3 linked regions of the Oryzias latipes genome follow. The protein of the gene in region 2 binds, or shares a complex with, the protein of the main gene of each other region. Links are inferred from orthologs where the notes say so. Each region holds a gene or a part of one and is shown on either strand. Other genes may lie near its edges.

What was found.
Region 1: smarcd3 (region 2) and phf10 share a complex: the UniProt entries of both Homo sapiens proteins name them as parts of the neural progenitors-specific chromatin remodeling complex. The link is inferred for Oryzias latipes from reciprocal best matches to the Homo sapiens genes SMARCD3 and PHF10.
Region 3: smarcd3 (region 2) and dpf1 share a complex: the UniProt entries of both Homo sapiens proteins name them as parts of the neuron-specific chromatin remodeling complex. The link is inferred for Oryzias latipes from reciprocal best matches to the Homo sapiens genes SMARCD3 and DPF1.

The regions. Positions count from the first base shown.
Region 1 is NC_019861.2:24,495,853-24,500,079, forward strand, and holds the start of phf10 (PHD finger protein 10), read right to left. Parts: upstream 2,900-4,227; 5' UTR 2,805-2,899; coding exon 2,730-2,804; intron 1,373-2,729; coding exon 1,263-1,372; intron 1,155-1,262; coding exon 1,024-1,154; intron 905-1,023; coding exon 821-904; intron 726-820; coding exon 601-725; intron 510-600; coding exon 360-509; intron 259-359; coding exon 149-258; intron 54-148; coding exon 1-53. Other genes in the region: rab4a (ras-related protein Rab-4A), read left to right, coding at 3,309-3,324, 3,936-4,016. UniProt on the Homo sapiens protein: Involved in transcription activity regulation by chromatin remodeling. Belongs to the neural progenitors-specific chromatin remodeling complex (npBAF complex) and is required for the proliferation of neural progenitors.
Region 2 is NC_019878.2:21,175,056-21,178,709, reverse strand, and holds part of smarcd3 (SWI/SNF-related matrix-associated actin-dependent regulator of chromatin subfamily D member 3), read right to left. Parts: intron 827-3,654; coding exon 725-826; intron 621-724; coding exon 459-620; intron 142-458; coding exon 34-141; intron 1-33. UniProt on the Homo sapiens protein: Involved in transcriptional activation and repression of select genes by chromatin remodeling (alteration of DNA-nucleosome topology).
Region 3 is NC_019871.2:18,165,942-18,169,030, reverse strand, and holds the end of dpf1 (zinc finger protein neuro-d4), read right to left. Parts: intron 2,908-3,089; coding exon 2,795-2,907; intron 2,150-2,794; coding exon 2,068-2,149; intron 1,356-2,067; coding exon 1,285-1,355; 3' UTR 547-1,284; downstream 1-546. UniProt on the Homo sapiens protein: May have an important role in developing neurons by participating in regulation of cell survival, possibly as a neurospecific transcription factor. Belongs to the neuron-specific chromatin remodeling complex (nBAF complex).

The sequences.
Region 1 (4,227 bases), on a different chromosome or scaffold from region 2:
GCTCAAACAGAGCAGTGTTTAATGGCAAGTAGCGCAGCTCATTGGGTGAGTACCTGGCACAAACAACACAATCGTGTATCTAAAATCTATTTACCGTTAACTGAGAGACTACTGTCACTTACGAAGAGCTAACAGTTATGGAACGTACCTTTTATAGTAATCTTGGAATTGACCTGGGATAAGAGCAACAGGGTAGGGTCCTGTTCTGGTTAGTTCTGGAGCAAGAACTTTGAACCTTCCCTGGGGCACCTGAATAACCTGAGACAAAAAGCAGAGGACAAAAAGGAGTTGCATCAGTCAAAAGCTCAACCAACGTTGCACTGATGCAGATTTATTAAACCATCTGCCATTAGACTTACGTGAGTCTGGAGGTCAAAGTAAGCTCTCCTCTCTTCCATTCGCTCCCTGTTGAAGATGCTGTTAAACTCAGCAGCTTTTTTTGCAGCTTTCTTTATGTACTCAGGAACCTTGCTTGCCTCCACTTTCTGAGGGTTCTGCTGCTGCATTTGCTGCAAAAGCACAAGAGAGTACAACTATTTGTTCGTGCGTTTCGACAATTTCTAATAAAAACTAAAGGTTGTTCTAGTCTGGTGTTCTTACAGAGTACTCCTTAGCTATTCTCTGACGCTCCTTTTCCTGCAATATCACAGAGTACTCAGAGTGTTTGGTTGGATACTCCTTTATCATCAAGTCGATCACTTCATCGCTCCGCAAAGCTGTCAATCCTGCATATAAATACAACAGCACTACATTATGTAAGAAATATAAATAAATGTATGAAGTCTGTGCATTAACAAAGAGTTTTAGGGTTGGCTCGTACCCAGGGTGCACTGCGTCTCAGTGATAACATTTTGCTCACGTAGGTAGAGCTTTTCTTTGTGAGACAGGTCTCTCCTCTCCATATCTGCACAAGAATGTTAAAAAAAATTCCCTGGTCAAAACATAATTTGGGCAGTTGCTAAATCAACCGCACTTAAACATTTCCTTTCCTGATCATTTTGTGAATTATTGTTCAATTCTTACCAGGATATTTGCGTTTGAATGACGTGACACCCAAATACTCGCTGATTTGTTCTTGCAGCATGTAATATTCTCCTGTATCATCAGGAGGCCATTTATACTCTATTAGGTTTTCTGCTGGGAAATAAGTCACCCTAGATGAGGAGGTGGGGGCAGGAACAACACATTAGATTTATAAGTTGGTATCTGACGCAATTACTTAAGAATAATGGCAAATTGTAATGCAAAAACAAGTAGCCTACCCAAGCTCTTGGCTGAAGGTGTCACAGCTCCGAGAGCTGTCCCCTGAACCCATTCTCCTCCTTTTCGGTGGCTGGCTCCCATCATTAGATACCTCATCAATTACATCTTCCTACAGAAGTGGAAAAAAGATTCACCAACATTTTTTTTCAAACAGATGAACACCAAAATATATAGAATCGAAAAGCTTATTGTACGGAGCCCCTAAAGGGCCATTGATGAAAAAAAAAAAATGGAGGAAAAAATTTTTTTTTTGAAGTAAAAAAAAATTCTCTTGGAGTAAAAAAAATTCTTTTGGAGTAAAAAAAATTTTTTTTGAAGTAAATAGGAAAAAAAAAACTAACTGGTGCCCACCTGAAACTAACTGGTGCGCACCAGTTAGTTAGTTTCAGGTGCACACCAGTTAGTATCAGGTGCGCACCAGTTAGTTTCAGGTGCGCACCAGTTAGTATCAGGTGCGCACCAGTTAGTATCAGGTGCGCACCAGTTAGTATCAGGTGCGCACCAGTTAGTATCAGGTGCGCACCAGTTAGTATCAGGTGCGCACCAGTTAGTATCAGGTGCGCACCAGTTAGTTTCAGGTGCGCACCAGTTAGTATCAGGTGCGCACCAGTTAGTATCAGGTGCGCACCAGTTAGTTTCAGGTGCGCACCAGTTAGTTTCAGGTGCGCACCAGTTAGTATCAGGTGCCCACCAGTTAGTTTCAGGTGCGCACCAGTTAGTATCAGGTGCCCACCAGTTAGTTTCAGCTGCGCACCAATTAGTTTCAGGTGACATTATGACATTGTCAGTAATATTTCGTGTTTTCAGAAAGTTTATAAGGTCCATATCCTCAACTTTAGCCATTCTCAAGACAACTGTAGCTACTTGGTGCACAATGAGCAAGCAGGTCAACTATCTGATATCTTCTGATACTAACTGGTGCGCACCTGAAACTAACTGGTGCGCACCTGATACTAACTGGTGCGCACCTGAAACTAACTGGTGCGCACCAGTTAGTTTTTTTTCCTATTTACTTCAAAAAAAAAATTTTTAGCTCAAAGAATTTTTTTTTACTTCAAAAAAAAAAAATTTCCTCAAGTTTTTTTTTTTTTCATCAATGGCCCTTTAGGGGCTCCGTATTATTGTGAAAATGGGAACATGTGCAAAACTAGTTTGACTAGGATTACACAGGGAAAAAATTAGCAACACTTTATATTTAAATGGCTACACAATCTAGTTTTTTTTTATTTATATATTTTTTCAACGTTGCAAACTAATAGAGAAATACACGAATAATAGGAGCAAATTACTTCAAGAGGAAGTAATTTGAGCACATTTGAAAACAAATGATTTTGCTAAAAGTGGCTGACAGTTGTCCTAGTGAATGGAAACGTCCGTTGGCTAGCTAGCTATCTGTTAGCAAAACATCGTCATGTTTCCCCGTAAACAACAGCTAATGGATATTTATCAAAGTAGAAAAAAATCACCTTCATGGAGTGCGCCCCAGGAGTAGCGGGACTGCTATCACTTGGTGGTCTAATAATAGGGAATAATGTAGCCATTTTAAGATAAATAATGCCCACAGCTAGGCTAATGATTAGCGGGGGAAACTACGTTTCTTCTTCTTTGGACAACCACGGACTCGGTTGACGTTTGTGTAAATTCAGAGCGCCACCTCCTAGATCCTCCAAAAAATATGTTAAAAAGAGAGAATTTGTACACAACATGCAAACCAATTAATTTACATATAGATAAAACTCTCAGCGAAATGGGCTGTTTTTAAAATTTACTTAGAACGGCGAGAATTTATTTTTCATTAATTGAAACCATAAGAACATATCCAAACATCACCCCCACGCGGTAGTTTGAGGACTATGTGGCATAAGTGTCATTTCAGAATGCTTTTATTTTGAAGAAAAAAAACCCACACACACCGTACAGGAAGTTGGAGGAGGAAATCATAGAATCCAAGGAAATCACCAACAGGACTATTTCCATCACTTAGCAAGCTAAACAAATAACAGTTTCGCCTTTCTCTGCCTTGCAGCTTAGCTGACACACCGAGGATGTCGGAGTCTTACGGTAAGGAGGCTGTCTTGCTTTATACCCGTTAGAATCTCACACACAGATGGCAGGAAAGGGATGATGAGGTCCCTTCGTAAACAAATAGCTAGCTGGCAGGCTAACCGAGCCACTGAGGAGTAGGAAGGTTTTGGCCTTTAAACTCAAATGTCAGCGTTAATAAATCTGCCTTCCGGGTACAGGTGTATTAGTAAAGCTTTATAATGCAAGAAGCTGTGACTATAGGAGATGCTATTGTTCCCGGGATAAGCACTAGGACACAAAGCAAGAGACTCCCGCTTTTCTTTTGCAAACGCAAGTGATGATAGGATATCTCTGTGTTTTGTGAGGCATTGCTCAAATTACACTATGCTACAACTGTTCAATCAATTGAACCAACATTAAACATGATAATTATCTTAGTGGGAGTAAAGAATAAATATATATATATAAGGCTTTGTTCGATCTGTTTACGACACATTTGTCTTGATTTGTATAGTGTAGACATCAGATGTGTACATGTCAACAACTGTATCAAAAAAAAATTAAGAATAGTTGAGTTTATTAATAACAAGGCAGCATATTCAAACCCTGTTTGCTTTATCTATGTTACTACTGTGTTCCCTCTGCAGACTTTCTGTTTAAATTCCTAGTGATTGGAAATGCTGGAACAGGCAAATCCTGCCTTCTGCACCAGTTCATAGAAAAGAGATGTAAGTTTGCTTCAGTTGTAATCACTAGAAAAAGCTTTATAATAATGACACAGTAATTGCCCGACTCTTTTATTTAAATATCTTTAAGGTCCCACTCAAAGACAGTCGTTATTTGTGTGTTTTTAACATATTTTTGTGACATTTTGTTCTCATTATAATGGACATTTATGTAAAAATTAAGCCTAAAATTGCATCTCTGAGTATTTCTTTA
Region 2 (3,654 bases):
AATTTGTTGTTGATAAAAACGAATTAGCCGTCCCTGATCTAATCTTTGTGCGAGGAGCTTGTGTCCTTCAAGAGTTTGAATCACAGGCTGATAACCGGCTGGGTGGTCTCTTCTCTGTAGAGGATGCAGCATCCCAGATTTCTGAGAAGTTAAAAAAAAAAGGACTCTTAGCCCTGTTTTCATCCATCCAGACCGAGTTCTTCCTCCTGGTGGTCTCCATCCGCTTTAGTGCGTTTCTGTGCTCATTAATAATCATGAATGTTTTTTTACTGCAGGAAAACCACCAAACAGCCATTTCTGCAGATCCTCTAAATCATTTATCCATAACGGATGATAGCAGAGCCAAAAAACGTTCAGCTTTTTGCATATTTGTCTTGAGGAATATCAGTTAAATTCATGAAAAACAATTAAAAAAGGGTCAAACTGGTGGGATCTTGTTGCATTATGACGTCACGCACCTGCTGGAAGTACTTGTCACAGTTGATGTACTCCTTATCGTGGGAGTCCTGCAGCTTGTTGGTCTTCACGTACTGCCAGAGCGCCTGGATGATGCAGGAGCGGGTCTGCGTGTGAATGCCCAGCAGGCGAGCCAGGCGAGGGTCCAGCTTAAACTGGGGGGGCTGTGGAGGCCAGGTCATCACGTTACTCGGCTTTTCACGCACGTTCAAGCCTTCGGCGCGGCGCCCTCAGACATGCAGGCGGCGTGGAGTCTGCGGCCCCTCACCTGGTAGTCCAGCATCAGCAGCAGCGTGCAGCGCACGCTCACGTCGCCCGGCCGCTTCACCTGGAAGCCGTCCGTCTCCTGGGTGGTGGGCGTGCGGTGCCACTGAAACGGCAGGTAGGCGACCAGCAGGTGAGCTGGAGTGGAGCGTTTGGCGGTTTTTGTCATGAAGGTTGCCAGCAGACATTTGCATTAAAGTGATTACAACTAATGGATTCATTACGAACAGGATAAACTCTGTTACGTTTCTTCAAAGTTCCACTTGAATCCTTTTTGGATCTATTCTCAAACCACCCCCAAAGGTCTTTTGATTACCATTATTAGCAAAATCAACAAACGTGTGGTTTTCAAGGTCATAGTTTCTGCAGAGCGGCAGGAGGAGTTCATTAGAAGTTCATCTCTGAGTTGTGGAGTAAAATACCATTTTCACTAAAAAAAATGAAGACTTAAATGTTGGAGATTAGAAAGAAGTTAGAAAATATAGGCAGATCACCTCTTATTAACTATTTAGATCAATGTTTTTCAACCAAAGTTCACTTTTTCCTAAGGTATCCCACCAACCAAAAGCGTACATAAATGTATTAATATACAGTCATTCCTATTAAAGAATCTCAAATATAGTAAATAAACAAAAAGGAAAAAGTCGGAATAAAATAGAGCTGATATCCCGGCCATGATAAATCTTTTTTCCACCAATTAGGAGAAATTCATTCATTTTTAACGGATTTAAATGATCCAACAGCTCTCGCAATGCGGAAGAAGAAAAATTACAAACTGAGACGAATCGAGCAGAAAATCCTAACAGAATGTCAGATGTTAAACATAAATATTTTAGATTTATCATAATGTAAAAGGACTGACTTGGAAGTTTAGGAGAGTAAACGATGATCAGATCAGAAAGCAATTTAAAATGAAATATTTTTATACATTTTTAAGAGCAGAATAACAAAAACAACAACAAAAAAACCATGACGTTGGAAAATTTAAGCACCAAAAAGAGCAATATTGCTTTACATTTAGGGTGTTTTTCACAGAAATACACACAAAATGTAGATTAACAGACGTGGTTAAGCCTGAGCCAGAAACGGGAGGATTAAGAGGAAGAAAGAACTTCTGTAGGACAAATTCAAGCAACATCAGACGAGTTCCTTTTGGCTGAATATTTATTTAACCAGGAAGTCCCTGTTTTTCAAACGAGAGCTGGCTGGGAGGCTTTGGCGCACACCCACAAACTATAAAATGAAACTAATTGAAAATCCAATTAAGAATATCATGTGCCAAGCGTTTACCATCAATCCAAATTAAAATTCTTTAATTATTTGACAAGAATAAAAGAATTATTGCAACATTTATCCTCAATAAAGGATTTTTTACTTATTTTAATTGAATTTGAAGATTAAATTTCAAAGATATCCTAATATTTCCATCAGAGAAACTTGGAATTATCCCATTTTGGGTAAGGTTAAAAGTTTATAACAAAGACAAAAACCTTGATTTATGTAGGGAATATATTTAAATATATATTATTTAAATATTAGATATTTTTTGTATGTATGCATGCGGGATCGTCGGCCAAATCTTTGTTTATCTGACAAAGAGGGGAGAAAATGATGAAAAAGAACATTTTAATAAAGCTCTGAAGATGAGTCTATTCAGAGGAGGGGAGGGGGGGACCCGGCTCTTCAGCCTATAGGGGGGGGCCTGCTGATTATTTGTATCTCAAGGTGGAAACAACATTCTTTGGACTGAGTCATTGAGAGAGCAGCACCCGAGCGGCCGGCTGAAAAGAGGAACCTTGAGAAGCCGTCACGTTCGCTCTGAAACTCCTCCAGTGGATTTTTTTTAAACAAAAAGCAGATTTCTGCGGTGATGCGGAGTGAAGGGCAGCCGCTGGTTGTTTCTAAAAGACTCACGCTTAAACAGCCTTGTATGCAGCCGTTCGCTCCGGTGTTAATGGAAAAAAAGGTCTGCCTTCATCAGGGGGAGGGGTCGGTCCGGCCTCCACGGCGGTAACTGGGGAGGTTTGGACGAAACTTGATAAAAATAATGTTTCCAGAAAGGAAAAGGTCGTGGAACGTGACGGCGCTGCGGGGAAGTCCAGCTCGCTCGAAGACGCCGCACAGAAAAGCTTTTGATTCTTATCATTTTATTTATTTTGCCACAAATTTGATTTAAAGATCAAATCTGTTCCAACATCTGATCTGTCTGAAAGTTTAAGAATAATTTATAAAACTCTTTCAGGTATTTGTTTTTAAGTGTTGTTTATTTATTTTAATCCACTGTGATTGATAATAAAAATGTTTTTTCCCCCCCTGGAGAACCAAAGAACAATGTTCGTATGACTCTTTAGAGCTTTATTTTTTGGTTCGCTCATTTTGAGTAGCAGCAATTAAAAGCGGCCAATAAATAAAAGAATAAAATCAAAACATGTAAAAATGTAAAAGTTTAAAATGTCTTTAAATAAGACAAAAGCTGAAAGCTTAGAAAGGGTGCATCACCACTGTTTGATGTCTTTCAGGCAGGAAGACCAAATCCGTTCAAATTTTCAAAATAAAAGACTGTCGACCTGTTCAGGGCGTACCCCGCCTCTGTCCAACTGTAGCAAGGACAGGCTCCAGCAACCCTGTGACCTTAAATGGGGAACATGCAGCAAAAAAATTAAAATATTACCGTAGATTACAAATAGGTTTGCAAAAAGACGATGTAAGTTTACGTTTCCTGGTAAATTTTATTGCCCTGAAAGCAAAACAAAGAAAAGCACATTGAGTTTTAATGCTTAGAGGCAAGAGGATTAAGCAACGCCTGACTAAATCTGAATAAACCCGCTTATGGGATTGAAATAAAATAAAAAAACGTATTCTAGGTGAGACGTCCTGTTTGCTGTTGAAACCACAGACCAGTCAGTTCACCAAGTCACCACTAGGTGGCTTGTT
Region 3 (3,089 bases), on a different chromosome or scaffold from region 2:
CTCCTTCATATGTGTATCAGACAAGTTACCAAAGGTAAGTTACAGGTGAGACTACCAGACTTCCTTCTTACATCTCAGTGCTACCTGTGGACTCCAACATTAAGATTTCTGCCCTCCTCCCCCTGCCAGACTGCATGAACAGGTAAATCGGTGACATTTTACATGGAGCTGCCTCGCCGTAACGCAAAAATAAGAGCACACAAACAGACACACGCAGCTTGAAGGACACAACAGTTGGTTTCAGAGTTCTCATCTCCAACACGTTATTGCGGATTAAGTGTGCTTTCTTTTCCTTTTCAGTTCAAAGTCTTTAAAAACAATTGAAACAACAACATGCACAAGAACATAATTTAAAAAATGAGTTATAAAAAATATGAACTTCAGCCTCAACTTGAGCCAGACAAAGACCTGCGTTGTCCCCAAATCCATCCTACATTCTGATCCCACAAGACACACACTGAGCACCAGGTCCGTTTCAGGCTGGCTTTGACCTCCCACTCTTTGTTTCACTAGAGGTAATCTCAGCAGGAGGAAATTTGAAACAGCTTTTCTGAAATACTGTCTTCATTCAAAACAGCTGATTTGAAAAAAACATTCACAGCCTTCTGAATCGATCAAGCCCCAAACGTGGCATCAGTCTGTATCAGCATGGAGAAGAGTATCTGAGGTCCAGAGCAGTTCTTGACCCGATGCTTTCAGAAACATCTTCATGAATGAGTGATCTGGAAAGAGTTTGAGTCCTATACAGTCTGTTTCCTCAACCTCAGCAGAGTTCAGCACCACACTCCTCCACAGACGCAGAAGGCCAGCAGAGGGGCTGCAGCTCCAAACGTGGAAGCTGACACATCGTACTCCATCCTTTAAACAGGCTCTTCACGGCAGCGTCCTTAACGCTTAATCATCGTATTAAATCTCACTCACAGCTGAACTGAGCTGCAGCTGGAGATCATCAGGGTTCATCCAGGTTCTTCAGAGGGTTCCCGCAGCAGTCCGTCTCAGAAGGACCCTAAGTTACCTGGCGAGTCTTTCAAGCAAACTTCTCTGCTGACACAGAGCACTGAAGAGAAGGGGGGTCAAGAGAAGCACAACGGGGAATTTTCCAGACTAAAGGTTGGCCGGGTGCTGGAGGGACGTTCATGAGTGGGTGCAGCGCTGCGAGGGCTCAGTGGTGCCAAAGGGAACCAGCAGGTTGGGGATCAAAGGAGGAGAGGCAGGGGGCTGAAGCTCAGAGGAGGAGGATGGAGGGGCGGTTTGGGGAGAGGCAGAAAAGATGAGCTCCACAGATTAGGTGAGGGTGATGTAGGCCGAGGCCTTCTCCTTCAGTTGTCTCAGACACAGATGACAGCTCCAGCTCCCTGGAAGACATACATCAGGAGGTCAGAGTGGGTTATTGTAAAGCCTGCCGATTTAATCCCATGTTTCACACAGAGCGTTAAGCAACACTGTAAATGAAAGCTGCGTGTTGAAGCGCCACATGCTGCTCCTGCAGTTTATGGATTCAGAGGATTTGACGAGGAGTTTGCTGTGGAATTTGGCGTGAGCGCTGTGACATTAATTAAACATCAAGTGTGGCTGATGCTGACGTGCACCTCTCAGCCTTAACGCTTCAGAGTGAATGTTAATCTGGCCTGAAGATGTTGTGCAAGCATTAAGCACAGACGCTGTGCCATTCACATTGTGACAGAACACAGCATTTCTCTCAGAAACAGCTTAGAACAAATAAAATTTGTGGGCGGGGCTTGACACTGCTAGTGCGTGTTAAACGCAAGTGGCTCTGATCTGGTTTCTTCAGCCAAGTGACATTTTCACCATGGAAACAGGTTATTTTTCTACAACTCATCTCCATGACAACAGAAGAAAACATCCTAAGGCAGCCATCTTATGTGGGCAAGTAGCATTTTTTTCTCCATTCTGGAGTCACAGCCTCGGCATTGAGATTCTTTGTTAAGACGTTTCAGAAAAAAGACGCAAAGTCCTGCAAAAATCCAGAGTTTCCATCCTCTGAGAACACATGTATTTACAGAGCTCTGTGAAAGAGTAGAGAACGACATAAACATTGATGCATACCCTCTGGCGGTTCAGACATAGGAGGACTCAGACAGTACATGTGGTACCCTCTGTCACAATCATCACAGAACAGCAGCTGGTCCTGCAACAGATCAGAGGAGCAGGTGTTATTAAAAGGCAACAGATTTGAAATGAAAGCTGAGGATGCAACAGTGGATGTAACGTGGGAAGTGGTTTGTTTGTGTATATAGGAAGAACCAGAGTGTTATTTTAAACTGTACATCCACTTGATTATATAAAACCCTTGTAACCAAGTGAACTTTTATTTTGTAGACAGCAGGGAGCAGCAGTCTCAGCACTGTTATGCAGTTTCACGATGTCTGAAAGGAATCACTGGAAATGTCTGCATGATGTTGTAATGATAGAACAATGCCGTGGCCTGAGGACCAAATCAGCTCAGAGGATAAATGTCCCAACCTGCAAATTTACAGAGAAATTCAGTTTTTTTTTACCAAAGCAGGGTGGTGCTATGATTACAGGCACTGTGGATGTGTGTGTACATATGTGTGTTTGTGTGTGTTCTCTTTTTGTATGTGTGTACGTTCATGTATGTGGTTGTGTGTGCATGTGTGTCTGTGTGTTTTTTTGTGAATGCGTGTGGGTGTGTGTGCATGCATTCATGTGTGTGTGTATTCATATGTGTCTTTGTGTTCCTATGTGCATATGTGTGTTTATGTGCATGTGTTTGTGACCATGTGTCTAAGGTGAACATGCAGTGAGGTCATACGTCATTCTCAGAGGTGCCGCAGAGGCTGCAGGATTTGCACTCGATGCATTGCCAGCGATAGGTCCTCACAGCAGCCGTCATGTTCACTGTAAACTGCAGGCAGGAAGGGTGGCCTGGTTACACACACACACACATTCACACACACACACACACAAACAGAGAGAGACACACACATACACCCACACGTGAGACTAGATTTATCAATGTATTTGATGACAACTTTTTGCTTCTTTTTTTACTATCCACAAAGCAGTATATTTAACTGAAGGATTTAAGAAATGTGAATTATCTAATT